Mus musculus: one gene and its partners. The protein of the gene in region 3 interacts with the protein of the main gene of each other region in a biochemical or structural test. Links are inferred from orthologs where the notes say so. Each region holds a gene or a part of one and is shown on either strand. Other genes may lie near its edges. The genes, in order: Map3k14, Nfkbib, Chuk, Map3k1, Bcl10, Nfkb1 and Cops5.

Evidence for each region.
Region 1: of the proteins of Chuk (region 3) and Map3k14, one has a biochemical effect on the other in vitro, tested with the Homo sapiens proteins (5 studies listed by BioGRID and IntAct, with this or other methods). The link is inferred for Mus musculus from reciprocal best matches to the Homo sapiens genes CHUK and MAP3K14.
Region 2: of the proteins of Chuk (region 3) and Nfkbib, one has a biochemical effect on the other in vitro, tested with the Homo sapiens proteins (2 studies listed by BioGRID). The link is inferred for Mus musculus from reciprocal best matches to the Homo sapiens genes CHUK and NFKBIB.
Region 4: of the proteins of Chuk (region 3) and Map3k1, one has a biochemical effect on the other in vitro, tested with the Homo sapiens proteins (3 studies listed by BioGRID). The link is inferred for Mus musculus from reciprocal best matches to the Homo sapiens genes CHUK and MAP3K1.
Region 5: the proteins of Chuk (region 3) and Bcl10 form a complex in vitro, tested with the Homo sapiens proteins (2 studies listed by BioGRID, with this or other methods). The link is inferred for Mus musculus from reciprocal best matches to the Homo sapiens genes CHUK and BCL10.
Region 6: of the proteins of Chuk (region 3) and Nfkb1, one has a biochemical effect on the other in vitro, tested with the Homo sapiens proteins (3 studies listed by BioGRID and IntAct). The link is inferred for Mus musculus from reciprocal best matches to the Homo sapiens genes CHUK and NFKB1.
Region 7: of the proteins of Chuk (region 3) and Cops5, one has a biochemical effect on the other in vitro, tested with the Homo sapiens proteins (2 studies listed by BioGRID). The link is inferred for Mus musculus from reciprocal best matches to the Homo sapiens genes CHUK and COPS5.

What each region holds. Positions count from the first base shown.
Region 1 is NC_000077.6:103,239,902-103,243,401, forward strand, and holds part of Map3k14 (mitogen-activated protein kinase kinase kinase 14), read right to left. Parts: intron 2,489-3,500; 5' UTR 2,470-2,488; coding exon 2,214-2,469; intron 1,206-2,213; coding exon 1,136-1,205; intron 1-1,135.
Region 2 is NC_000073.6:28,763,845-28,768,011, forward strand, and holds the start of Nfkbib (NF-kappa-B inhibitor beta), read right to left. Parts: upstream 2,801-4,167; 5' UTR 2,579-2,800; coding exon 2,400-2,578; intron 1-2,399. Other genes in the region: Sirt2 (NAD-dependent protein deacetylase sirtuin-2), read left to right, coding at 3,008-3,023, 3,788-3,834. UniProt on the Homo sapiens protein: Inhibits NF-kappa-B by complexing with and trapping it in the cytoplasm.
Region 3 is NC_000085.6:44,079,978-44,083,477, forward strand, and holds part of Chuk (inhibitor of nuclear factor kappa-B kinase subunit alpha), read right to left. Parts: intron 2,719-3,500; coding exon 2,609-2,718; intron 2,019-2,608; coding exon 1,969-2,018; intron 1-1,968.
Region 4 is NC_000079.6:111,806,194-111,810,384, forward strand, and holds the start of Map3k1 (mitogen-activated protein kinase kinase kinase 1), read right to left. Parts: upstream 2,801-4,191; 5' UTR 2,777-2,800; coding exon 2,310-2,776; intron 1,873-2,309; exon of another isoform or gene 1-1,872. UniProt on the Homo sapiens protein: Component of a protein kinase signal transduction cascade. Activates the ERK and JNK kinase pathways by phosphorylation of MAP2K1 and MAP2K4. May phosphorylate the MAPK8/JNK1 kinase.
Region 5 is NC_000069.6:145,927,262-145,930,761, reverse strand, and holds part of Bcl10 (B-cell lymphoma/leukemia 10), read right to left. Parts: intron 357-3,500; coding exon 68-356; intron 1-67. UniProt on the Homo sapiens protein: Plays a key role in both adaptive and innate immune signaling by bridging CARD domain-containing proteins to immune activation.
Region 6 is NC_000069.6:135,594,048-135,597,547, forward strand, and holds part of Nfkb1 (nuclear factor NF-kappa-B p105 subunit), read right to left. Parts: intron 1,020-3,500; coding exon 818-1,019; intron 332-817; coding exon 162-331; intron 1-161.
Region 7 is NC_000067.6:10,035,339-10,039,617, forward strand, and holds the start of Cops5 (COP9 signalosome complex subunit 5), read right to left. Parts: upstream 2,801-4,279; 5' UTR 2,673-2,800; coding exon of another isoform or gene 2,581-2,672; 5' UTR 2,475-2,580; coding exon 2,332-2,474; exon of another isoform or gene 2,324-2,331; intron 1-2,323. Other genes in the region: Cspp1 (centrosome and spindle pole associated protein 1), read left to right, coding at 2,801-3,006. UniProt on the Homo sapiens protein: Probable protease subunit of the COP9 signalosome complex (CSN), a complex involved in various cellular and developmental processes.

The DNA of each region.
Region 1 (3,500 bases), on a different chromosome or scaffold from region 3:
AAGCCGGCTCTGTCACTGCAGTCACGCATGCTTAATGACAGGGGACGCGTGCGGGGAAGCGCGGTGTCAGGTGAGTCTGCCTGTGCATCACAGAGTATACTAGCGCAAACTCGGACAGCTGTATACCAAGAGCTGCTGTGAGCCTATGGGACTGCTACTGTGTATGTGGCCCACTGTTGACCAAAACACTGGTCTGTTGTACCTCTGTACTTAGTGTGGGCTAGTTCCTACCCACACCCCCCCACCAGGAATACCAAATTTTTTCATTTATGAAAGTATTTATACCACACTGAGGTGGTGATGAGGTCGAAACGGGAGCAGTTCATAAGCCTTAGCACCTGGCTGCTCAGCAGGTTGCCCTATAAAGTGCTTGCACAGCCTGGGGTGGACCCTCAGTCCTTCTCCAGGTGCCAGCCCTCTTGGGGCAGGCATCTTAGCTCTGACAGGGCAGAGTTTCTGTTATCTCTCCCCTTAGCCCTTAGACGTATCTAATTGCCATGGGAACATGAGACGCTGACAAATAGACTCCCTTTCTGGCTGGTGTAGCTACCAAGGATCTGCCAGGCTCCCACCCATGTTAGTTATTATGGGAACTTGTTTCAGGCAAGGGTCTGAAGGAGGTGCTGTGAAAACAGCCATCGGCTCTGACCACGGCCACAGCCACAGCCCTTCCTGGGATGCTGGGAGCCTCCAGACTTCTCTCCAGCAGCCAAAAGAAGAGTTCATCCTCAGGGTCAAGAGATGCCTGAAACTACACAAGGAATTGCCTAGACCGTAAGGAGGACAGAAGCTCCCACCCTGACCCCTAGGGGTGTCTTCCCTAAAGGATGGTGAAAGTAGCCCCTCTGGACTGTGCTCATGGCTATATACAAGTTCAGAGTCACTACTGTTCCCAGAACCCTCCCTGCTGAGGGGAAAGCAGAGGTGTCTCAAGGACTCAGGGTAGAGTAAAAATAAAATGTCAAGTTTGACGGAGCCAGGGGCAGCTTCTGAAACGCTGACTTGGCTGCGAGTGGCTGGGCCAGGAAAGCTGGGTGGCTGCCAGGAGCAGAGCCCAGGTGCTGAAGCAGGGGGCCAGAGGCCTGGTGGGCGTGGCCTGGGCTCCCTTCTTCCCAGCTCCAGTTGGCTTCCTTACCTGTACTGCTGTGACCCCGCGATGAAAATGCGCTCTGAGAAGGTGGGGCTGAACTCTTGGCTATTCTCACCTGTGATCCAGGGAAAAGGGTCAGATTAGCAGGGATAGGAACAAAGACAAAGCATTTAGGAGAGAGCGTTTTACAGACAGGGCCCCAGTGGCCACTTCCTTTCCCTGTCATATTCCTCTGTCTGGTGGCTCACCTCCCCGCCACAATCTTCTCTCACTGTTGGGGCTACCCTGTGCCCCAGCTTACCAGTGACGCCTCCTAGAACACCCACATGCCACAGGGCACACAGTTGCCCCCTTGATAAACAAGCTGGCACGTATTTCTGTTTACACGCATGTCACTGTATGTGCACTCAGCTCATTTGAGCTCATTTTCAGTGTTCTTTCCTGGTTAGGAAAAGCCTCGGGAAGTGAGGCAGAGGTTGCATATACATGGAGAGAGATGCCAGGTTCTCTGGGTTCTAGCCCAAGACACCTGGACTGGAAGATGGTACTGATAGAGGGAAGGGGGCTCTGGTGCTACTGAGCCCCCCCCCCCCCGCCCCAAGGAGTTCTTGTTTCCCAGGCAGCCATCAATATCTACCATCTGGAGGCAATAGGAGTAGAAGTGGAGAAAGCCAGGCTTGGCCTCCTGCTGAGGCTAGCAGCTCAGAGACTGGCACAGCAGGCATAAGAACAGGGTAAGGGTCTGTAGGCCAGAGGAGCTTTCTAGGAGACTTGGCCTTTCCTGTCTGAGCCTCTCTGCAGGCTACCGTTCAATGCTCAGTGGAAGGTTAAGGGCCAGCTTGATGATCTTGTAGAGTCCTTAAGCAATCCTGACTCTTGGCTGCTCCCTGTTTGGGTCACAGTGGCACAGCCTCTATTTGCTCTGGCCTCCATGATCCACCCTAGCATATTTACAGCTCCTAAGTGGGTGGCTAGACCCTCAATTGTGTCTGGGAGATGCTTCTAGAACAGTCACTCTGACCTTGCTCTCCATGGGGACTCCCAGGCTGGCCTCTTGTGCCCAGCCACCCATCTGTGAGCCCACTCATTTGCCACTGTATCCATAGCAACCCCAGGTCCTTACATTCAGCCTGGGCGATGATGGAGATGGCCGGTGGTCCTCCCTCAGAGCCGTCCTTGGCTGTGCCTTTGGTGATCACGTCGTTTAGGATCTCCCACTTCCCACAGAACACGGGGCTCTTCTCCACGGCCTCAAGCTTGAAGATGCAGCTCTGCTTCTTCCCCAGTGACTGTGTCTTCTCCTTGGCTTTGGCAAGCTCCTTCTGCTGCCCGACTGCTGACCCAGGAGTGCCCGGGCAGGCCACTTCCATCACGGCCATCTCCCAGGCTCGTGCTCACCTTGACGGGCCAAACACAGACTTGGTCAAGTCCCAGGCCCTATGTAGTCAGCATAGATTAAGCATGCTTGGAGGGGAAATGAGTGCTTGCCTGCGTGTGTGTGTGTGTGTGTGTGTGTGTGTGTGTGTGGTGTGTGTGTGGTGCATGTGTGTGTGTGTGTGGTGCATGTGTGTGGTGCATGTGTGTGTGTGTGTGTGTGTGTGTGTGTGTGTGTATGGGGGTCACGTGAGAGGTTCTTGGCTCTTTCTGTCTAGTGTTCTCATCCTCTAGACACCCTGAGTGGTAGGGAAGCCAACCTTGAAACATTTATCACAAACATTCCATTTGTGGGAACCTTGCTCTACTGGCACTGTAGTATAAATGGATGCCTCTGGGGGCTGGAGAGGTGGCTCAGTGATGAAAAGCACTGCTACTTTTCCAGAGGACCCAGGTTCAATTCCCAGAACCCACATGGTGGCTCACAACTGTCTGTAACTCCAGTTCCAGGGGACCCTTACACATATATACACGAAGGCAAGACACCAGTGCACATAAAATAAGTCATTTTTTAAAAGAAAGGATTCCTCTGCTGGGCTTTCAGAGAGACAGGAGTTATTTTCTTCAGAGTGTAGCCACTGGTAAATTGCCCGTGCTCCAGTAAATAACCTCACATCCATACTCATGCAAATGACCCTAGTTAAACTCAATGTAATACACGCACACACGTGTGCACACACACTGCCAGGCAAGTAGGAAGGGTGTGGGGAGGGGAATGAGAGGGAGATAAGAGGAGACAGATGGCTCAGCAGTTAGGGCACTGGCTGCTTATGCAGAGGACATGGATTTGGTTCCTTGTATCCACGCAGCCATCTATAACTCCAGTTCCAGAGATCCAATGCCCTCTTCTGCCCTCCATGGGTACTGCACACATGTGCTGCACATCATATATAAAGGAAAACCGTTTTAAACAACTTTAAATAATTTAAATTACACATTTTAAATAATTTTAAATTATTATTATATGTTTTTTGGC
Region 2 (4,167 bases), on a different chromosome or scaffold from region 3:
TGTTGCTGCCGGGCAGTGGTGGCGCACGCCTTTAATCCCAGCACTTGGGAGGCAGAGGCAGGCGGATTTCTGAGTTCGAGGCCAGCCTGGTCTACAAAGTGAGTTCCAGGACAGCCAGGGCCATACAGAAAAACCCTGTCTCAAAAAAACAAAAAACACTTGTTGCTCTTGCAGAAGACCCCGGTTTGATTTTCAGCACCTACATTGTGGCTCATAGCCATCCCTAACTCCAGTTCCAGGGGATCCAACATTTATACACATAAAGTAAAATTATTTGGGAAGCAGGGGCAGACATATCTCTGAGTTCAACGTCAGTCTGCTCTACATAGAGAATTCCAGGACAGCCAAGGCTACACAGAGAAACCCAATCTCAAAAAACCAAAAATAAATAAAATAAACCAAAGAAAAATTTCATAATGTGTAGACAGAATCTCTTATAGGCAACACCTGTCAATAAAAAAGCAAACGGCCAATGAGCTGAAGCAGGAAATAGGAGGTGGGACACTGGCAGGAAAAGAAAGGATTCTGGGAAATAGTGAGAGAATAAAAGGAGACACAGGGAGAGACACTGGAGGAGTCACTGAGAGAGACACCGAGAAAGACGATGCTAAGGAAGAAGCAGGCCCGAGACTGAAGGAAAACATAGAATGATTTAAATGGGTTAAATAAGTTATGTGTTAGCTATGGAATGGGCCAAAGCTTGTAGCCAAGGCATTTATTAATAAATAGTTAATGCCAGAGTCCTTATTGTTGGGAATTAAGTGGCCGGAAGAAAAAAAAAAAAGGATTCATTTTTTTTTACAGTAGTGTTCAAGGCTAGCCTGGGCTACATAGTGAGACACTGACTTAAAAGGGGGGTGGGGTTGGAGGCTGGGAAATGTTTTGCTAAGTAAAGCACAGTGACCTTAGTTTAGAACCCACATAAGAAAAAGCTGGGTGTGATTGTAAGTATTTATAGTCCCAACACTAGGGAGGAGAACCCTGGAATGGAGCACAGTGGTGCGCGCCTTTGATCCCAGCACTCCGGAGGCAGAGGCAGGTGGATGAGTTTGAGGCCAGCTTGGTTTACATAGTGAGTTCCAGGCCAGCCACCCTGTCTCAAAGAGGAAGAGGAGGGTAGAGAGCAAGAGATGACCGCTGAGGCTCTCAGGCCAGCTAGTCTAGCCTACGTGCTCAGTGCAGCCCAAGGTTGCCCTCTAGTCCACACACACACACACACACACACACTCCCCAGGCGGGATGTAGTGATACCCACTTGGGAGCTGAAAGCAGGAGAATGAAATGTTCAAAGCTATCCTCAGCTACAAAGTAACCTCAAGGCTAGCCTGGGCTACATGAGACCGTCAAACACAAACAATCGAGAAAGGAAGGGGGAGGATAAAGAAAGCACAAAAACCAGACCCAAAGTAACCAGAGGGAAATAATAAAGGAACAGGAACCAACAAAGTAGAAAGTGAAAACTAAGGCAACTACTCCTGGCTCTTTAAGATGAGTGTTTGTTGGGTTCCCCTCATGGGTCAGGCACTGAGTCACTGGGCATACGCAATAAGCACAAAGGACAAGAAAATCCCGGGTACAATCCCTTAATGCACGCCGTCACCACAACCATCCCTTCTCCCCAGCTTATCTACTAATCAACATTTCCTACTCTTTAACCTTTTTTCAGTCACCCTCTCCTCCTTTTCCTCTTCCCTCCTTTTTGATACTGGGTCCTTCCAGGCTGTCCTCGGACTAGTGATCCTCCTGCCTCAGCCCCTCGAGTGCCAGAATGACAAGTGTGTACCATCACACTCAGCTAAACTAAAACCAGGGATTGGAAGGTGGTAGTTTGGGAGAAGCATTTGGCTAACAGATGAATCTAGCCTCATAGAATAGAGTTTCTACATCTTATGTAGCTCTGGCTGGCAGGGAACTCAATCAGGTGGCCTCAAATTCACAGAGATCCACCTGCCTTTGCCTTCCAAGTGCTGTGAGAGCCATGACACCCACCAGCTCAATTTCTTAACTGCAGGGTCAATACTGGACGTGTCAGCTTCAGAGACTCAGGGCCAAGAACTAGTTTTGAAATCAAAATCTGGCTTATACAAGAATAGCCAAAGACCAAAGACTACATCTGGAAGTAAGAGGTAAGAAGATGTGGGAACTAGAGTGGTCGGAAAGGTTCAGATCCGATTTGGGGATCAGGAGCTCAAATTTATAGAGTTCAAAAAAGGTGAGACACTTGACTGTGTGAAAGCGTACCAGTCTCACAATTTAGTGTTTGGGGGTTAAGGGCCAGGAAGTCCAGCATCGGAAATCAAGAGTTAGGAACGAGACGATACGAAGTCACAGGAATCGTAGGCTAAAGGGGACTCAGGTAAGATCCCAGGGCTCAGTCTAGTAATTTAAGGTTTACTCACGTGTCCCCATCCTCAGTGACGTAGCCAAAGACTAAGGGCGCCCACGACAGCTCTGGGCCAAGCTCTGCGCCCAGACCTGGTCCTCCGGGAGCCGCTGCGTCGGGACCTAGAGAGCCCAGGCCGCTGTCGCACCATTCATCGGCATCCGCAGTTTTCCCCAAGCACGCGACCCCGGCCATGGCCCCAGCCACCTCGGGTGGCCCCCTGTGGTCGCCTGCCTGTCGCTGGGCTCTGCGATGAGCTCCAGTGCTTCCGCCCTATCGGGAATTCCCCAACACGCCCCCTCATATACCCAATCAAAATGTTTTAAATAGCTACACCCCGCCCCTGTACTGCACCACAGCCAATCAGAAAAATGAGGTGGACATTCGCTCGCTGAGTTTCCCCACATTTTCCAGACGCCCTTTATCAATATGGCCGCCGGCGCCAGGCTTTTTGGGATTTGTAGTTTGATAACATGAGAGGCACATTGTACGAAAGCGGTTATGGGGATCGCATTGCCTGCCGGGAGTTGTAGTTCTCTATCCTATCTCGGCCTCTTCTTGTTTCCGCTGCCGTCACGGGACAGAGCAGTCGGTGACAGTCCCGAGGGCCCCCACCCCGTTCCCATGGCCGAGCCGGACCGTGAGTTAGGGGCCCTGTTGGGAGGGTGGGAGGGTCGGGCCGCGCCGGGGCCTGGCTTTGGGCTGCAGGCCCCGGGGCCCGAGGGTAGGCTCGGTGGGGCGGGAGACAGGATCTACCTGAAGGGAGTGGGATTCGGAGGGGTGTTGCTAAGTGGTCCGTATTACTAGGTTGGTTGGTTTCTGGATTGTGAAATGTAAGGGTCCGATTGTCAAGTTCTTAATGATCGCATTTCTCGTACTTTGGCTGCTGAGGACCCTCGTTGCTAAGGACCAAAGTTACCACTATCCCGGTTGCTAAGGTTGTCTGTTGTTAAGGGCAACTGTAGGATGGGTTCCGGGGACCCCTGTGGCCCCTTACTATCTCATTCCTTCAGTTCTTGTGCCTCTCCTAAACCTCCTACCTTCACTGCATCTCCTCTCCCACACTCAACTCTCAGCAGAAGTATCCCTACTTACGTCTCTTGAAAAACTTAGCCCTCCCTCATTCTCTCGACTCGCACATGCTACCATATCCTGCTTAACTCTGAAACCTTCCTTCAGTCCAGTCTCGCCTGCTTTCTCCTCCTAAAGATTCCCCTCCTCAGCCTTTTCACGTCACACATACCTCCACTCTAAAATATGCCTTTTCCCATCTCCGATAGTTTTACTACCATCCCTGACTCTGAAATAATTAGGTTGGTGGGTCCTCTTGTCCTCCACCATTGTGAGCCCTTCTGCTTAACTCTTTCCCCGCACTGTAACCACGTCTGCTCCCCTCCTCCCCAGCCTCTGACCCTCTGGAGACCCAGGCAGGGAAGGTGCAGGAGGCTCAGGTGAGATGGGGAAGGGGTGGAGGGAAGGAGAGACTTGGTTCCACGTGCCGCACTGGGGGGAGGTGGCAAGGGAAGGCTTTTACCCAAGGGCCCTTGGCTTATGGCCCTGATCCCCAAGCCCATCTGGGGATTAGTACAATCTCCTGGGAGAATGGTGGCTTCTTGGGACTGTCAAGGAAAATGTATAGCCTCAACCCCTGGTTCCCTTCCATATCGTCCTCGTTTCCTACTGTTGCCCATCCCATCCTCAGCCCCTTCTGAACCTCATTTGTGCTGGACCTGAAAGAGACGGTTTTCCAGTTCAATCCGCAAACTCAGATCCTATGAGGTGGG
Region 3 (3,500 bases):
TCATGCTAATCCATCTGTTTACAGCTCAGAAAAAAAGCTGACATAAACCAAATGTGAAGTACTAATAAAAAGGATCAGTAGACACCTCAAGTTCAGCTTTGAGTTTCAAAAGAGATTTGAGAAGGTTGTAGGACTGGAGCTCAGAGGAAGATCAGTGCCTGCCAGGCATACACAGGCTCTGGATCCCCAGTACTGCAAGAGGCGGTGGGGGAGAGAAAAGAAAGAAGAAGAAAAAAAATCTGTCCTTTCTTAATTATTCCAGAAACCTCCTCCGCAGCTCAGCTTCATTCCCAGAATATTTCTCTCTCTACTCTCTCTCTCTCTCTCTCTCTCTCTACACACACACACACACACACACACACACACACACACACTCTCTCTCTCTCTGAACAGACATAAGGTTCAGAACACCCACATGGCCACCTGTAACTCCAGGTCCAGTTATCCAACACTCTCTTCTGGCCTCCGTGGGCACTGTACACATATGGTGCACTGATACACATACAGGTCAAACCATCCACACACAGAAAATAAAAATATAATGTCAACAAAACAAAACACCCAGTGTACGCATGCTGTTTTTTAAAAAATAATATAAATATTATATAAAGTTGCTATATGTCTATAATTTTCAAATCTAAAACTTGAAAATTTTATATAAGTAATATAAAACTTTTAAAATAAAAAGTATATTCCAAGCTGGACAGTAGTGGTGCATGCCTTTAATCCCAGCACTTGGGAGGCAGAGGCAGGAGGATTTCTGAGTTTGAGGCCAGCTTGGTCTACAGAGTGAGTTCCAGGACAGCCAGAGCTACACAGAGAAACCCTGTCTCGAAAAATAAAAAATAAAAAATAAAAAAATATATTCCAGAGCACAGATATCCCTTATTACTTATGTAATCCTTCAAAATAAATACATTTAATTAAAATAAAGGTATATCACCTTATTGTTTTCAAAGCATTTTCATAAACATGTTCTCAAAAAATACACTGCCAAAGTGTAATGAGTTAGAAGGCTAGGTTCTTACTTGTTTTGCACAACAGGGGACTAGAAATATGGAGATGTACTGGAGATTAGTCAGTAAAATACCCAATTTAGAATTCAAGGCTTCTGCTTTCCAACCTACATTCCTCCTAACAACCGTGCTCTGTATTTGGCAGTGTGCAGTATGAATTGTTCCCTAAGGACATGAGCAGTGACCAGTGCTGGTGAAGGCAAGGCTTTTCAGGACAAACTGCTTCTGGATAGACTATGGCTTCTCTTCCCATCCCACCCAGAACCCACTATGTTGAATTCTTTCCAAGCTCTCTAGGTTATTTTTCCCCAACCGTTACACCCTTTTATTGCTGTGTGTGTGTGTGTGTGTGTGTGTGTGTGTGTGTGTTGGGGGTGAGGAGGGTGGGGGTGCTGGTGCTATTTCTTCCCTTTTGTTGGGGAGAGAGTATGCAGAGGCTCAAGGTCACCGTCACGATCATCCTTGACAGATCTCACCTCACTTGTTGATAGGGTATCTCTCTGAATCTTAAGCTTGCTGTTTCAGCTAGACTGGCTGGCCACTGAGTGCCAGGAACCCATCTGTCCTTGCTCTCCCAGTACTGCTGGGACCACAGGGGTGTGCTGCCATGCATGTGTTTATGTGAGTGCTGGGAATCTAGACTTGGGTTTATCAGAGCAAGCACTTTACTCATTGATCCAACGCTAAATTCCCTTTTTTTTCTTTTTCTTTTTTTCTTCTCTACTTTCTTTTCACTTCACTTTTAAAACTTTTCTACTTCAATATCCTTATTACTTTCCTCTTCTAATCTTTTAAGTTTTTATAAATTTAAAGCTATTATGCCACAAATGTTGCAAAAAGAATACCAAAACAGGATCATACTATGAAGTTAAAAAACATTAAAATTTACCCACTTTGTTCAGTTAGGGTGTTTCCTAAACCACCTTTCAATACTGTGACTGAAGTGTCTTACCAGGAGGTCTGTGCTTTAGCTGCTTATAGAGATCAATGGCACGCTGCTCCCTACAAAAAAGAAAAACAAACACCTTTCTGTATGTGCAAGTAACTTAATGATTAATAATACACAACTTGAATAAAAAATCATGGCTTGTGATCAGAGAGAAAAATCTGAAGTTTCTAGTTAGATGTTTAGGAAATTAGCCTCAACAGAGGAGTTAGGAGATTATCCCTTAGACCAAAAGGGAAGAAAATGGGGAATCATTTGTAATTTAAATATACATTAAACACACACGCAGAGGAGATAACAATCCAGAGAGTTATTTCCCAAACTCCCTATGACTAAGAAAGAGCTTCCTTTTAAGATATTCTAAGGGCTGGAGACACGGCTCAGAAGGTAAAGGTGCTTGAACCTGAGTTCAATTCCTGGGCCCACCATGGTAGGAGGGGAGAACTATCACCCCACCTTCTGTCCTTTGATCTCTACATGTACAATGTGATGTGTTCCATGTCACCTCTTCCCAACAAAATAATTGAATGTTTTTAAGAAAATCATATCATAGGAATATATTAGAGGTAAGAAAAACCCAGATATACGTAGGAAGGACAAACAAAGTATTCTAAAATCAAGACCAATAGCACAGACACATTCTTACAGAGACTCCATCAAGTCTCCCTGGCGTCGTCCATAGGGGCTCTTCTGCAGCTCCATGATTTCAGTGTGCAAAGACATAATTTGATCCTCAAGATAACCAATGACACCAACCTAAAATATGACACAAACCAAGACAATGACAGGCTCACTACCACATAGAACAAGGTAGAACATAAGCTGTTGTAGCAGTAGAACTGAATATTTTACTACAACAAGGTAATTGTGTTAAAGCTAATTGTCTGTTTATTTAATGAGACAGCTGTATTATATAGGCTAGACTAGTCTTGAACCTGTAATTCTCCTGTCTTGCTTTCCTGAGTGCTGGGATTACAGTGTAAAGCACACTAGACTGGTTAAAGCTATTTAAATAATAATCAACTAAAAATTTGAGAAATTTATAGGTATATATAATGTATTTTGATATTTACTCCCACTATTCCCCCTAACTCCTCACAGATCTACCCCTCTAGCCCCTCCCAACTTCATGTCTTTTTTTTTTTTAAATAATCCACAGGGTCCAATATGCGATGATCATATATACACTAAAGAATGTGAGGCCATGCAGTGGTAGTGCACACCTTTAATCCCAGCACTCGGGAGGCAGAGGCAGGCGGATTTCTGAGTTTGAGGCCAGCCTGGTCTACAGAGTGAGTTCTAGGACAGCCAGGGCTACACAGAGAAACCCTGTCTTGAAAAACCGAAAAAAAAAAAAAAAAAGAATGTGAGGCCACACAACAGGACATAGTCAAACTACTAGGGACCACATCCTTAAAGAAAACTGACTCTCCTTCCCATAACTGCTAATTGCTCCTCAGCCATGGTGGGGGTTTATCACGCTTTTGACAGTCTTTCATATAAAAATGCCTTATGCTAGGTGCAACGGTGACACCCTT
Region 4 (4,191 bases), on a different chromosome or scaffold from region 3:
ACAAACTTTCACTGGCTTGAGTTATTTTACTGAAGGAGAGAGGGCAGACATACATGCAATCTTTGACTTTAATGAATTTCCCATAGCTTATCTTTTTATAAATGTGTATTTTCTAAACATTCAATTTCTACATCCAACGTTTAGAAACTGGATTAAAAAAAACAAAAAACAAACAAACAAAAAAAAAAAACAAAAGAAAAATACGTTAGGTCTTTAGACATGCAGAGGGGTCTTTGGCTCTCTACTACTACTGAAAACAAACCGAAAATATCAGCATTAGATCTTCCTCTTCAAAGCATGAACGTGCGCTACTTGAAAAGGGAACCACATTGTTCAACTGAGATTCTACATGCCGTATAATCATTTCCCCGAGATTTTAAATGAGAAAATAATAAAACATCACAACAGGAAACCCAAAACACAACAACATTTCTGGATAACCCCTTCTTCATGATATAAGTTTTAGACCCGCAGATTTGAAATGAATTTCAAACCAGTTACAAAAACTGGAGGCGGGGTGTGTGTGTGTGTGGGGGGGGGGGGTGTTAGTATTATTTCAAAAGGATTGACAATCGATATTTTACAGCAAATGAAACTATCACATATAACATTTGAGGTGCACCAACAGAATTCTAGCTAGCAGTATTTATTTTAAAGACAGCTTTTACAATTATAAGCCACTGCTTAAAGAGATAAAGAGAGAGAGAGAAGAATGCGCAAAAATCAAGCAGATTACTCAGGTATTCAATTCTACCTGCCCTCACCTTGGTCCTCTGATTTCTAGAGGCAACACTAAAGTTCTATATGTCATTTTTGCAGTTGCTGCTCATGGTATATTCATAGGTGGTTATATTGACTTTATAAATGCTTAAGTGTGGCCAACTGTATTATCATATAGAAAAAAAAATCAGGTCTCACAGGACTAGATAAAATTAATTCCTCAAAGTTTGAGTTACTGTTTTTTCTTTCATCTGTAGTTGATCTGTAGTAAGAGTTGCCACCTAAGAATTATTCTGGTTAGTTTTAATCTAATCTGCACAGAAACAGGAAACCCTAGAGGAAGATACGTGTACAAGTGCACACAGGGCACACACACAGAAAAGCTGCATCGGGGCTGCTTACTGCCTACCTTCCTCCCAATCCTGCCACAGCCAGGGGTCAACACACTTTTTACTACTGGGCTTGGGGGTTGGGAGGAGGGAAAACGACCTCCAAGTAATAAACGGACCGTGATTTTAAACAATCCAGAGCACAAAAGGGGGTCAAATTACTTAGATAACTAACCGAAACCAAGGATTCCTACTGTCAGATTCGACACACAATAAAACACTCTCCACCCACAGTAAACGTCAAGAAATTCTACGGGGGGCCACAGGGTGACGATGACGAAAACATATCCAGCAACTTCACACATCCATCAAGATTTTATGCTTTTGTGTATTTTCATCAGATTTTTTTTTTAAGTATCATATACTTAAAAGAATTTCCTCTAACAGAAAACTTTCCAGTAGCCAAAACAGGGCGAGGCCAAAGAGCCGTTGGTGTAAACTATCTTACGCACATCCTACTTCTGGTGCACCGGAAGACCCCTGCGAGCAAAGCGGCAGCCCCGCACCGTCCCTGTCCCCGCCACGCAGCGGGGCTGCGGGGCGCAGTCCCCACAGCTTTGAAGCTGAATGGCTGACACATCCGGTCCTGGATCCCACAGCATTCCGCCAAAAGCTAACTTCAAAGCCGGATTCAAACTCCCAGCACCGGGCGCTCTAGCCCCCGAGGTGCGGGAGGAATTCCCAAGGACACGCAGCGAGGGCAGCCACGGAGTCCCCGCAGACCCGGCCGCCCCGCGAGCCCGCAGCGTCCGCCTGCGTCGCTTTGACAGGCGCCCCCCCCCCCCGCAGTCCCCGGAATCCCCCGGCCGCCCGGGGCGCGCCGCCGGAGCCCGGCCCGGTACCTGCCCGCGGGCGCGCGTCCCCGTGGGGCCGAGGGGCTCTAGGCTGTCACAGCGCGCAGACCCACCGCCGTCACCTTCGCGCTCCGAGCCCCCCAAACTCACTTCGCGCCGCGGGGGCTCTCAGGACCCGGCCCGGGGAGCCCCGCACCTTCGCGGCTTCCACGCCTGTCACATGTCCGCAAACAATAACAAACTCTCCCGCACGTTCCCGTCCCGTCCCCACGCCGTCCCGGGCGCCGCCCGACCTTCAGGGCTCGGGGACGCGGGCTCCCCCCCCACCCCCAACGAGCGGAGCCCCGGGAGCAGCGCGCCCCGCTCGCTTCATTCATTGCCCGCCCGGCCCCGGCCCGCCGCTCACCCGGAGGGGGCCGCTGCAGAGGGCGGCTCGGCCCCCGCGGGGCTCCGGGCGCCGCTGTCCCGCGCGGCCGCCAGCTCGGCAGAGTGGGAGCCGCAGCGACTCGCCGCTCCCGGGGGTGGCGGTCCCGCCGCGGGCTGGAAGCGACTCGCTCCTGCAGCCGCGTCCGCGGGCTCCGGCGACGGGGAAGTAGATGGGCAGGGCGGCGAGGCGGCGGCGAGGAAGAGCGGCTGCTCCGGCAGCTGGTCCAGCTCCACACTCCGCACTTTGCGCAGCTGCCGCCGCCGCCAGTCCGCGCGCTCGCGGCCCGCGCTGCCAGGCTCCCGCAGCAGCCCCGCCGCGCCCGCTGCGGGCGCGCCGCTTCCCTGGAGAGCTCCTCCTCCTCCGCCGCCGCCGCCCGCCTCGGGACTCGCCGCCGCGGCGCCCGGGAATCCCGACGACGAGGCGCGATCGCCCGCCGCCGCCGCCATTTTCTCTCGCGGGCTACATTCGCTCGTGCCTGCGGGGGAGGGAGGGGGCGGGGAGAGCGCGGGGGGCGGGCGGAGCGGCGGGCGGGTGGGCGGGCGCGCGCTGCTGCCGAGGGCGCGGGCGCGGGCGCGAGCGGGGCCGCGCCTCCCGGCCGGGGCCCGGGAGCGCGGAGCGGCGGGCGGGCGCGCGGCGCAGGTGGGAGGGCAGGGGCAATGCGGGGAACCGGGCGCCGGGCGTTGTGCGCTGCAACCAGGCCGCCGCCAGGTAGTGCGAGACCGGGCGGGGCAGCGGCTCGGCGGGAGCTCGCCCACCCTTGAGCAAGCAGTAATCCGAGCGTGAGTCCCTGGTTCTGGAAGGGGACGCAAGCCGGAGGACTCACGGTCTGTCACTTCACGCGTTTAGTAGCGGTTGCTGGGGGGGCCCCCGCGCGCACCGGCCCGGCCCGCGCCCGAAGCGCAGGTGGCGCCCCGGGACTGTCGCCTGCCGCAGACGGGCGGACGCGAAGCCTTCTCTTAGGAAAGCAGACCTCTTGTCCCGCCCTCGTGTCACAAATAACACTACTTAAGATTTCTTGCGCTACCTTGTGCACCTCTGAAGCTGCTGGTTTGGGACACCCTCCCCCCCACTCCCCCGGCTACGCAGAGGGACCAACCCGGGTACTCTGCCAGAGGTTACTCCCCCGTCTTGGAAAGGCAGGCTCCAACCGAAAGCGGGAGAGCACGTCTGGGGAAGGAGCCAGCGCTATGCCAGGAAGCGCTGGATCATGCCATCTTCTACCAGGTCTCTCCCCACCCCCAACAGATGCTCCCAGCTGCACGTCCCTCTTCCTGGCAGTCAGGTGACAGGCCGGTTCCCGGGTCCCCCACCTCCCTCCCGCCGCCGCTCCCTGGTTGCCCTGTGCGGCGTCCCTCGCCTTTCTCCTGCCCCAGAGTCTAGAAAATGTGCTGGAGATAGAAAAGCAGTATACGTATATGGGATTTCCCCCCTTCGACCCTTTTTCAACGGGATAAAGCTGCCTTGTCGTCCCTATCTCACCCGCCTCTGCCACTTTTTTTTCCCCTAGCCACTTTGTCTAGAATAGACAATCTCTCAGAACCCAGGATTTCTAGATTTATTTTGTGAAACATTAAGACATGAGGCGTGGGGGGAGGGGTAAGAAGGGTTTTCATCTTACAGAGAAAGGAAAGATCTCTCCAGCATTTAGACAAAAGCCTGAACTAGCTCAAAATAATTCATTTAACCTCTCCAAAGTAGATCAAATGAAGCCCTCCTTAGGTGTGTAATGTCAGCCAGAGAGCAAGGTGAGGCAAAAGGGATTTTTAAAAAGGGATCCTGACTTCAGCTTGAGCTCGGTGTTATACTTACTGCTATAACATCTGGCACGCTACAGTTCTCAATGGTTACATTAAAAGGTACA
Region 5 (3,500 bases), on a different chromosome or scaffold from region 3:
TGCTCTCCTCACTGTCTGCTCCCCCACCCACCACTCTCCTCGCTGTCTGCTCTCTCCCGCTGCTCACCTTTGAGGTGCTCCAGTTTTATATTCCGAAGCTTTAGCACCTCATCCGTTATCTTCTGAATCAGGAAGCTCTGTGTTTTCTCCCTGCGGATGGATTCCACCAGGGTGTCCAGGCCCCTGGGGTTCTCCTGTAAGTAGTCTAACAACTTCCCAGCCCGTTTTCTACTTGAAGTTCGGCAAGAAATTTCTTCTGTGTCTTCTCTACTTAGTATTTTTTTTGCACGTAGATGATCAAAATGTCTCTCAGCTATGATTTTCTCACACAGGTAAACACGTAAATTCTCTAAAGCCTAAGAGAAAAAAGAAGAAAGCTTCAATGTTACTCTGTAACACGGAGGAAAATCGCAGGTGACTGGTTAGTAATTACACATCTTAACTGGTATGAGACAACATTCTCAGGGAGGGAGGGAGGCCTGGGTCCTTTAAGTGCATGCTGAGAAAGATGATGCCCAGCAGCAGAAGCCAGTCCCACAGTCCTCAGAGCGCCCTGTTCTGCTTCACCTTCACCCCTGAAAACTAACACCCAGCTGCTGTGAGGAGGGACCTGCAGAGGGTCACCTAGGTCAGGAGTAAAGATTAAAAACACATGTCTGTAAATTGTAGTAACTATCAAGTAGAGAATTTCAGAATTAGGACCAGGACAACTTAGTGTGGAGTCTCACAATCTGCGGCTGTTTCATGTGTATTATTAATTAGTACATCACCTCAATGCGAAACCATTAGAACACACACAAAGCCCAAATCCTCCCAAGGGCCATATGTCTTTGCTTTGAGGCTAGTTAGAAAAATGATACAACTCACTGAGACAGTCCTGGAGGGAGGGAGGGAGGGAGGGAGGGAGGGAGGGAGGGAGGTAGGTAGGTCATTGCTGAGTCAGTCCTCGGGGAAGGAAGGGAGAAGAAAGGGAAGTACAGAGAGGAACAGAGAGAACCAAAGAGTTCTAAAAAAAACAAAACAAAACAAAACAAAACAAAAAAAAAACTAAGAAAAGGAAAGCTTAGCTCAGGCTAGTCTTAAGTATTTAACTTCATTAGTTTTAATTGAAACATAAAAAAGTGTACATATTAGTGAAGTACCATGTAATTAATTCTCAGGCATGCACTGTGTGCTGTTTAAATCAGGTCCACGTTTGTCTCAATAAGTGGTGACAATCTGATGCCAGTCATTGCATATTCGTGCCTGTATTTACTAGACATGGGATTTGAGGCAAATTAACTGTGTTTGCATCTTCATGTGATAGTTGAGAGGGATTATTAACATGCGCAGAGTGTTTAGAAACGGCACGGTGCGCCGTGACTGATCCCGTTAGGGCAATGATGGTGGTTAACCAGACTCACATTCATAGCGATGAGGTAAAGGCGGTGGGAGCTTCAGTAGAGCCACCTTAGTAACAATGCCTGCAAAGCTGTCCCTGTGAAGGCGTCTGACAGGTTTTTTTGTTTTTTTGAGACAGGGTTTCTCTGTGTAGCCCTGGCTGTCCTGGAACTCAGGCTGTAGACCAGGCTGGCCTCGAACTCAGAAATCCACCTGCCTCTGCCTCCGGAGTGCTGGGATTAAAGGCGTACGCTCAGTACCTTCCAAGTACCGCTCAGCGTCTGACAGGTTTTTGTCTACTGGATTTCCACACACATTTATTTATTTATACAGTAAACTTCGTATGTATAAATTTCTAGTGTGAATATGAAAAGATGAACAAGGTTTTAATACTGCATACAGAGGGCTCCTGGTTTAGCCGGGCAATAGACAGCACACACGGGCTGTCATCGGAAGACCATGTAAGTTATCAGAAGACCAGTCACCGTGACTTCAGCACCACTCTGGGCATGCATGGTCCGTAAAGCCTGCATGGACTGCTAACAGAAAAATAGCATTTTGTAATCCCCTCCTCTTTCTCAAATCTTTCATGCATCTATTAGATTTTACAATTTTCAAGAGAAAATAGAAATCTGAACCATTACATAAATTATACCAACACAGTGTCTGCTCATGATTTATTGGATAGTCCTGAACACAGCACAGTAGTTGAGAGCACTGGGCTAGAGAGATAGCTCAGTGGGTATGAGCACTTGTTCTTGCAGACTATATGAGTTTGCTTCCAAGTACCCACATGATGGCTCACAATACTCCACAACTCTAGTTCCAGAGGACCTGACACCATCTTCTGACCTTTGTAGACACCAGGAACACACATGGTATATATACACTCATGCAGTCAAAATACCAATATTTAAAAAAAAAAAATCTAAAAAGTCCTTAAGAACAGCATGGCTGTGCAATGAGTCAAACTTCTGCTAACCCTGAATCTGTAACATTCTGTGAGAACTGGTACAAACTGGTACCACTGGGCCTTCAGGATCTTGGCAAAATAAGGATAAAGAATTAAACCCATCTAGGAAGACTAATTGGGATAGTGTGCATGAAGGCTCAGCCCAGTTCCTTCTACAGTGGAGGCCCAATGACTAGTGACTACTGGGCCACAGCAGGCAAGCTCATGGCAGGCAAGCCCACAGCAGGCCACCTCTCCAGCTTGATTCAGCAGTACCCTATGGCAGGACTTCTGCTCCACTTACAATCGAGGACTAGCACTGTTTCATGCTGCTATGTGCCTGAGTTTTCCTTCTCATACCCTGAGCTCCCTTCATCTTTGAAGCTTGAGGTTGCTGGTCATCGCTGGGAAGCCGTACTTTAACATCCAGGATGAGCTGGCCACGCCTGTCTCGCAGCCCCAGCCTCTTCCATTGTTCATCACATTCCCCACTTCATCCCCAGGCGTTTCCACTGTGTCCCACGCTCTCCCCCAAGTCACCGAGGACCTCCTCTACTGACGGGTCCTTCCCACCTTCATCATATTTGGCTTCTGAGAGCAGGGTCACAGCTGATCACTCCTTCCTCCAGACACGTTCTCCTTGCTGAGCATACAGGGCACTGTCCTGATTGTTTCTGATCTCTATGAAACTTCTCTCTGTGCTTCCCATCCCGTTCTCAGATGATGAGGGCTGCAGCTCGAGAGCTTGGAGCTGGTTCTCATCTTTTCAACAGAATGCTTGTATTTCTAGTGCAGAAATCTCTTCTGATCTTCATTCTTACTCTTCCTTCAACTCCCATCCTGTCCACGTTCTTAGCATGCACCCCGAGCTTGTGTTCCATCCATGTCTACGGCCTTCACTTTGATCCATATCATCACTGCCTTTCAGTGTATCCAAGTCCTTCCATGCCCTTTCCCACTTTTCCTCATCTTCCTGGTCTACAGAAAAGGCAGGCAGATCTTTAAAAGTCAGACAAAACCCTATTAATTCGTTAGTATGACTCCTAAGAGAAAAAAGTGTTAAGACCTTCAAGAGTTTGCTTAGCCCACATCCCTAATTTCATTTTGTTACCATCTGCCATCCTTCAATATTCTGAACTTACAAAGGTCCTGACTTAGGTCCTTGTCA
Region 6 (3,500 bases), on a different chromosome or scaffold from region 3:
TCTGTCACTGGCATCCCCAGGTTGAGAGCTGGGCTGGAGCTGGGGATGCAGAAAGCAGACAGTGGAATACTGACAGCGAGCTGGCCCTAGAGTCATTCTTTGAAAAGACTTCCCTAAAACTTCCAGGGGGATTTAGGTCAAGATCACAAGTACGCCTTTACCTCCAGAAGCAGGCAGCCAGCCAAGGAGATGTTGTCGTACTCCACGGCCAGGTGCAGCGCTGTGCGCCCAGACTTCTGCTCCTGAGCATTGACTTCTGCCCCGGCAGCCACCAGCAGCAGCAGACATGGCAGGCTATTGCTCATCACAGCTATGTGGATGGCATTTAGACCTAAGGCCGAACAAAGGCAGAGATGTGGGTGAGACTGACAGAGCTGGGCTGCGGGGAGGAGGGACACCACCAGGTCGCAGCACTTCCGGTTTCTGTTCAGGGCGTGCTTCAAAGCCTCAGACGGTCCACTGTTCTACTTTCAGAAGCCACAAGCTCCCACTGTGTTCTCGGGAGACACTGAGCTACTATGTAAACGTTCTCCACACACACACACACACACACACACACACACACACACACACACGATGCTTTATAAAGACTAATGTTTGCTCGGGCTTGCTTTTCCACTTACTAAGCAATACTCACAAATACTCTTTAAGGGCGTTTGCTGTAATAAACAGCAGAAATAACCACAAGATATGACAAACTCCAGCTGGCTGAGGAGAGTATTCATGGTGAAAGTCATGTCAGATGCATTTGTCAAATGCCAAGCCCTTATGCTGCAGCCGAGAGGGGACGGTTAGCCAGCAAGGCGACTGCTCTTACCTTCCCCATTGGGGTGGTCGATAAGGGGCGCTGCTTTTCTGCTCTTGAGCAGGATGCTGAGGATTCTGTCGTGTCCTTCTTTGGCAGCTAGGTGCAGGACAGAGTTGCCCCAGCGGTCCAGAAGGCTCAGGTCAGCCCCAACCCTCAGCAAATCCTCTACTACATCTTCCTGCTTGGTGATCACGGCCAAGTGCAGAGGTGTCTACACAGAGAAGGAGAGGGAGAGCCATTGCTTAGGGATGTCTGTAGCCCCTGGCTTCAGGCTACGTTATGGAGTCATACTGTAGGGACATTTGTCACTCAAGGAGCTTCCTGTTCTGCATGCCAGGCTCAAAGGCCCACGGAGAGAACCAGCATTCAACAGTCGGGGTTATGGGATACGTTTGCTACATGATTTTTTTTAACTCTTGTAGAAGAAAATTTAATTTCTCTGAATTTCTGATAGGTATCTATCTATAGCTGGTAATTCTATACATTTGCAAATCGAACCAATGCTGTGTTTTTAACAACAAAACATAAATAGACTATTAAAAGAAAGCAATCAAGAAAGATGTCATCCTTCCACAATGGTCTGGAAGTACATAGGCTAAACCAGAACACACTGCTGCAGGCTGGCTTCAAGAGACGCACAGATACAAGCTCCACTGTAATACTATCACAGGTGCTACCAGATCCTCAGGGCATAGTTAGCCAATACAGCACTCTCCCTAAGAAAGTTCAGGCAGAAAACAATCCCAGGCACTGTGCATAATAGGCTCTGGGAGGTCTTTCTGACTACCCTGACCTCAAAGCTGTGCTTCCATGGTTGTAAGTAGGACGCATGGAAAACTGTTTTCAGAAACAAGTGGGGCTAACCCAATCACAAAAGTGTCTGTCAAAAAGCTGAGATCACTGGTAGAGAGTAGCACCAACTCTCAATGCCAGCCAGTCTGTGTTGTAGGCGCTTTACACTGAAGCCCAGGCTGTGTAGTGAGGACTTGCCCGACCTCCCATTCAGGGAGTTCTTCCTGCTGGGAAGCAGTGGCTGGTGGGCCACCAACACCCAAGGGTTACATTTTACACACGCATAAAATGCGTGCCTCAAGGAATCCCTAGAATCCATCTGTGGAGCTCAGGGCTCACACTGCCCTTGAAACCCACTTGTGGCACCCATGGGTACAGTGCAGGTGCTCACTGCAGTGCACAGCCTGTGGACAGTGAGCAGCTAGTTAGGGGACATGACAGCATTCTCTTCAGGAGCAATGAGAACAAACCAGCTGTCTATGAAACTAAAGGATAAACAGCGTGAAGACCCAAGACAGGGACACAGTACAATGCTACATACACATCCACAAGCACATGGATTGACCATTCATTCATTCATTCATTCACTCTGCTTAGAAACAGTCTTGCTTTCTGCCCAGGCTACATTGGAACATCTATATTCAAGGACTCTTCCTGCCTTAGCTACCTGAATAACAGGAACTAAAACACAATACCACCATGTTCAGCTTAGGAAAAAAAAAATCTTACAGAGCTATCCATGCATATGAGTACATACAAATATTGAGATCTGATTAGAATCTGTTGCAATTCCTAATTGTATTATTGTGTTAAGTAGGATGTAACTGCTGGGGGAACTTAGGAGGTAAGCGTCTGGTTCAATCTCAGGAAATATACAGGTCCTCTCAGTTGAATTTTGCAAAAATTATGAATTGAGAAAGTATTTTAAATCGAAACTTAAAGGGAAAGGCTGATGTGGGATAGGAAATGTATGTATAAAACCGTGTGGAGTGCATGTGAGCACACTAAAGAATACATGTCTTCCCAGAGCAGCTGTCTGTAGCCAACACTGGAAGAGCACTCTTCCTGTATACATGCAACAGTCACATCTGGAAATAGGGAGCTGTCGGATCTCCCTATGCCTCCAGAGCTGGCTCCACTGTGCTGCCCAAAGGGCAGGACCCACTCTCCCATACACTACAGCCTGTGAGTGAGGGGCAGGGCCAGTTCTCCTGCTCTCACACCCTCAGGGCTGCTCACTGTGCTCCCTCCACGAGGGTCCTCTCTACTCTGCAGCACAGGCTAGATGCAAGGCCTGCTCTCGAAAGCCTGTGAAGGACAGGGCTAGCTCACCCCCTTGCATGACCCCAGGCCAGCTCTCCTGACTGCCTGCACAGGTAGTGAGAGGCGAGGTGGAGGAAGGCATCACCCCTGCACCCAGGCTACCTCATAGCAGACAAGTGGCAGATTGCATTTTTAACCATCACAAGTATAAGAATAAACTGAAGAAGAGGAAGTTGCTACTTCCCAATCCTCTTTGCAAAACCTGCTTCCCTCGGCTGCTGGAGGTTGGATTCAGGAAGCCCTGCTGGCTGTTGGTGATAGGATCTGCGGAAGCAGGCTCTATTGTGTGCGACCCAGCTCTTTGTGGATGGAACCTCTCCCCTGAGCTCAAGGCAAAGCTGCTCTGATTTGGAGCCCTCAGACCTTTCTCCCCAGTTTTTCCCACCTTGGCTTCACTCAGTTAATGGGCACAAACATTCCCTGCCATACCAGCTTCTTAGCCTCAAGGACATAGACAGGCAGCGTTTGTGATTCTCATAACTTTTGGGTTTCTTTGTTTGGCTTTGTGGAGTTGTTTTGCTTTGTTTTGTTTGAGAGAGGGTCTTCCTGTGTTTGAGGCTGGCCCAGAACTTGCTGT
Region 7 (4,279 bases), on a different chromosome or scaffold from region 3:
CACAGTCACAGCTCAGCCCCTTGGGTAAAATAAAGAGTCTGGGATAAACTTTAATATACTGCTGAGGTGAGGGAGTAATGATCAAGTCCACAGGCCTTTTTTCTCAATCATCATGGAATTATTATACTTGATTACCTTCTTAGGCCTAGCTTTCTGACCTTAATTTACTGAGTTATTAATTAAGTAATTTATTTATTTATTATCTGTGGTACATGTTTATTAGTGTGCCACCAGATGGCATGTGGAGATGACAGGGACTGTCAGGGGTCTTTCTCTACCTTTTGTTTTGTTTTGTTTTAAGACTGCGTTTTTCTGTATAACCTGGCTGTCCAGTAGTCCAGGCTGACCTTGGAACTTGATCACCCACCTCTGCTGAGATTAAATGTGGGTGTCACCATGCCCAGCTCATTTTCCTCTATTTTATTACTTCATCCCCTTGAGACAGAGAGAGCCTCTTACTGAAAGCTCACTGTTTTGGCTGACTGACCAGCTTACAGACTTCCTTTTCTCTGCCATCCTTCAATACAATGCTAAAAGGTTACACACACACATATCCACACATGGATTTTTACAATAGATGCTGGGGATTTGAACTCAGGTCTGCATGCTTGATAGCAAGTATTATTACCTACAGAGCCAGAGGATTTAATTTCTACAATGTTTGCCTCTGAAATTGCCCTGCTTAGGTCTAAAATCTTACACTGACACTCCCTACCTGAGAGAGTAGGGCCACTTAATGTCTATGTCACATATCTATAAATAGGTATGTCACCTATTAGTATGAAAAGTACACAGTAAGTGCTTAGTCCCACAGACACTAAAACCTAAGGTACTGTTATCAGCCTTATTAACCTGTTTTAAGATATTCTCAAAAAAAGTGTGTTAGCTTGTGGCTTCCTTCTGATAGCATCTTGAGAGTGATCTAGTATCTTTACTTCTTTGACTAACCATTGTATGTGATTAAACTCTTGAACAACAGTTTAAAATCCCTGACATACCCTACATGTTAGGATAGCCATAGATGGTGAAGAAGTCTTGAGTTTACATCCACCTAAATCACGCAGCTTGCTTTAGAAACAGCTAAGTAATCTGTGTGGGGCACTCAGCGTTGCCATGGCCCACTGGATGCATGCAACCAAATATAGCTTTTGTTAGATTTCAACCACAAGCTCAAAGTTACTGAGACCATCTTGGAAATCAAGATATAAATTAAAAAACTGGCTTTTCCATCTACTTGGGAAAAAGATAAAAACAACCATTACTATGCTCTCATTACATATGGCTCATCCAGAACTTCTTAATAAATTACCTTATCTCATCTTCATGACATCATTAATAGCTACGTTTAACCTTTATCTTATAGATAAGTTTAGATACTTTAGTTTCCTAATGCCAGTCAACAGTCTAAATGACAGTTATTGAGACCTGATTTTCAGTCTATTGAACCTAAGCTCATTGCTATAGTATGACCATGAGGTGTGTTTCTGAATGTATTTGCTTATTTTTCTATTTACAGAAAGGGAAAGAATCCTGGATTGTCAAGATTATTAAAAGACACGAAAATCTTCAGGCCAGTGCCAGGCCCACAGTAAGAACTCAATAAACACTGAAAACAGAGTACTGACGGTTAAAGCCAGCTGTGCCATCAGAACAAAACACCTGGAGACAGCAAGACAGTCTACTCAGCAACCTTTTGTAATTTTTTTCTTCACTCTCCTTAATACAATTTGCTCTAAAGAATCATTTGACTTGTCGTCAATCCCAAAGATACATGGATTTGGCTGGGGAAAATGCTTCTAAGCTCTCTCTTATAATTCCTGGTTTACATGAATTGTAGTAGTATTGTAGGGAACTGCTAAGAGGATTTGGTATGTGTCTAAAGAGCTGAAAAAAAACCAAACCAATCAATCCAAGAGCTCATGGATTTTTTTTTTTTTTTTAAATCAATGCTCTGCTCATTCGATTTATAAAAACAGCCACGCTCTTCAGTTTGGGAATCTACTGAAGGCTGCAACTAACTGCATGTAGCCACCAGGTTCAAGGCAGAGTGTGTGAGATTTACAAAAATAATCATGTTGACAAAAGTCGCACCCCAAGTCAGCCCTTTACACGCCCTGAAGGCAAGAAACTTTCTAAAAGGGGAATCGAAGCAGGCCCTAGAGGACAGGTAAGGCTCTACTGACAAGGCAGACTAAGGCCACTGTGGCCAATATTCGGTCGACGCCCCACAGAAAGCCAAGCTCACCACACCCTTCATCTCCCACCCCTCGCGGGTCTCTCACAGTCCCGCCATCCCTGCCCTCCCCTGCGTCTCGCCAGGGACCTCCTCACTCCTTAGTCCAGGGTTTCGCCGCCAGGATTTCTTGTTGTTGTTTTTTGTCATATTTGTAGATTTCATCGATACTCTGCGCTTCCTGCATGTTGTTGGCCAATTCCCAGGTTTTCTGGGCCATACCACTCCCGGAAGCTGCCATGGCCGAGGCACCGGAGAAGCTGTCGCTCCACAATCAAGATGCAACTTTCTTCTACTGGGCCTCAGCGTGCGGGCTTTGGACCTTCCCCACCAGGGTGCACACTCACTAGACTCTCAAGGCAGCCATGACACTTGAGACCGGAGGTGACGTTGGTCCAGACCATTCGCGCGCTGGGGCGCGGCGGCGGCGCAGCGACATAGAAAACACTTCCTTAGGGTTGGCTCGGCTCGGCTCGGCTAAGATCAGTCTTGCCGGTGAAACGAGAACATGCTGGCTCGGAAATCCGTTCGTGTGAACTGCGAGGGACGCAAAGCCTCGGTGTGGGAATGGTACAGCCTTTCGCGCCGGAAGGCGGGACTATTGGCCTGCCAGGAAGGAGTCGGCCGGCTCGGCTCGTACTGCGCAGACTCAGATGCCACCATATTGTGTGTAGGAGGAAACTTGAGTTTGGGGAATTATGTTTATGTGAGTGTAGGTGCTTCAAACGAAATAAATTGTTTGGAATACTAAATATCTCTAGAGAAACAGAGGTGTAAGTATCTCCGGATTATTGGTTTTGGAGGGGGAAGATCGCGTGACTCTTTTAAGATAATTTGCGGTGTGTTAAGCCTCCGGGGTTTGTGGTTGGCGTTCCGCTTTTGTGTTTTCGCTACTGTTGCGAGGTGGCAAGCAAAAGTTACCGGTTGCTAAGATTAACTTTTTTAGGGACTTTATAGGGTAACATTTTATACAAGTGTTAGGAGCGGTGAATGCCTTAGGCGCTACTTTTTAAAAAAGGTTTGTCTCAGTGCAGATTTAATCTCCGCAACCTGTGCCTTCCAGCAGTTAATGTGAAATTTGTTTCAGTCGTATTTTTAGGTTTTCTTCCCTCACATTCTCATCCCCAATTGCCCACTAGACTGTAAGTTGAAGGCATGCATGAAATTTGTGTTTTATTTAATTCTAATATATTTAATTTTTTTCGTAACACGGTTCTTAAAGACTTCTCCAGCTTCATCATCTTCTTTTAGCTCCCCCAACCCAGTTTTTCATTCTATTAGAACTTTTTTCCTTGGCTTAGTAATATATTAGTTGTTAGGCATTGCTTGAAATGCACTTCTTGACATTTCTGCTTTAGAGCACACAGATTTTAAAAAGCACAGCTCGGAGATGCCTTTCCTTAACTCTTCGTCAGTAACTGCTCCTTCACAGGAATTCGAAGGCTCTGTAGCTGCTTCACCTGGACCCCGGGGTTTTTGCAGTTCTGGAACTATGTAGTCCAGGCTGGCCTCAAACTCGAGAGCTGCCTGCTTGAGTGCTGGGATTCAAGGCGTGCACCACTACTGCCCGTCTGTATCCTCTTCTAATGCAGGTGCTTTTGCCTGGGCTGCAGGAGACCCTGTTTCAAAAAGTCAAGGAGCTGGGCAAACAAAACAGAGCAAGGACATTGCAACATTCTTCTAATTCCAGTACTTGGGAGGTGGAGAATGGAGAATCAAGAGTTCCAACCCCGCTTTCTCCCTGGACTATTGGAGACAAAATAACGAAACCAAAAATAAAAATAGAATCTTCTTAAAGTATAACTTCGGGCACACTAGGGACATTAGAGTACATTAGTATCTTAAGTTCTTTCTGAGAAGCTTGTGTAAGCTTGTTCCAGTGGTCACAATACACAGCCACTCGAAACATACAGAATAACATGTTGAAATGGTAATGAAAGCCCAGGACAGAGAGTTGACCAGACTGCTGGTGCGGACATTCCTTCTCTCACATCCACACTTCGTGACTGGAGACCGTCCTGGGCTTGGATGGCTGGGATTTAGCCT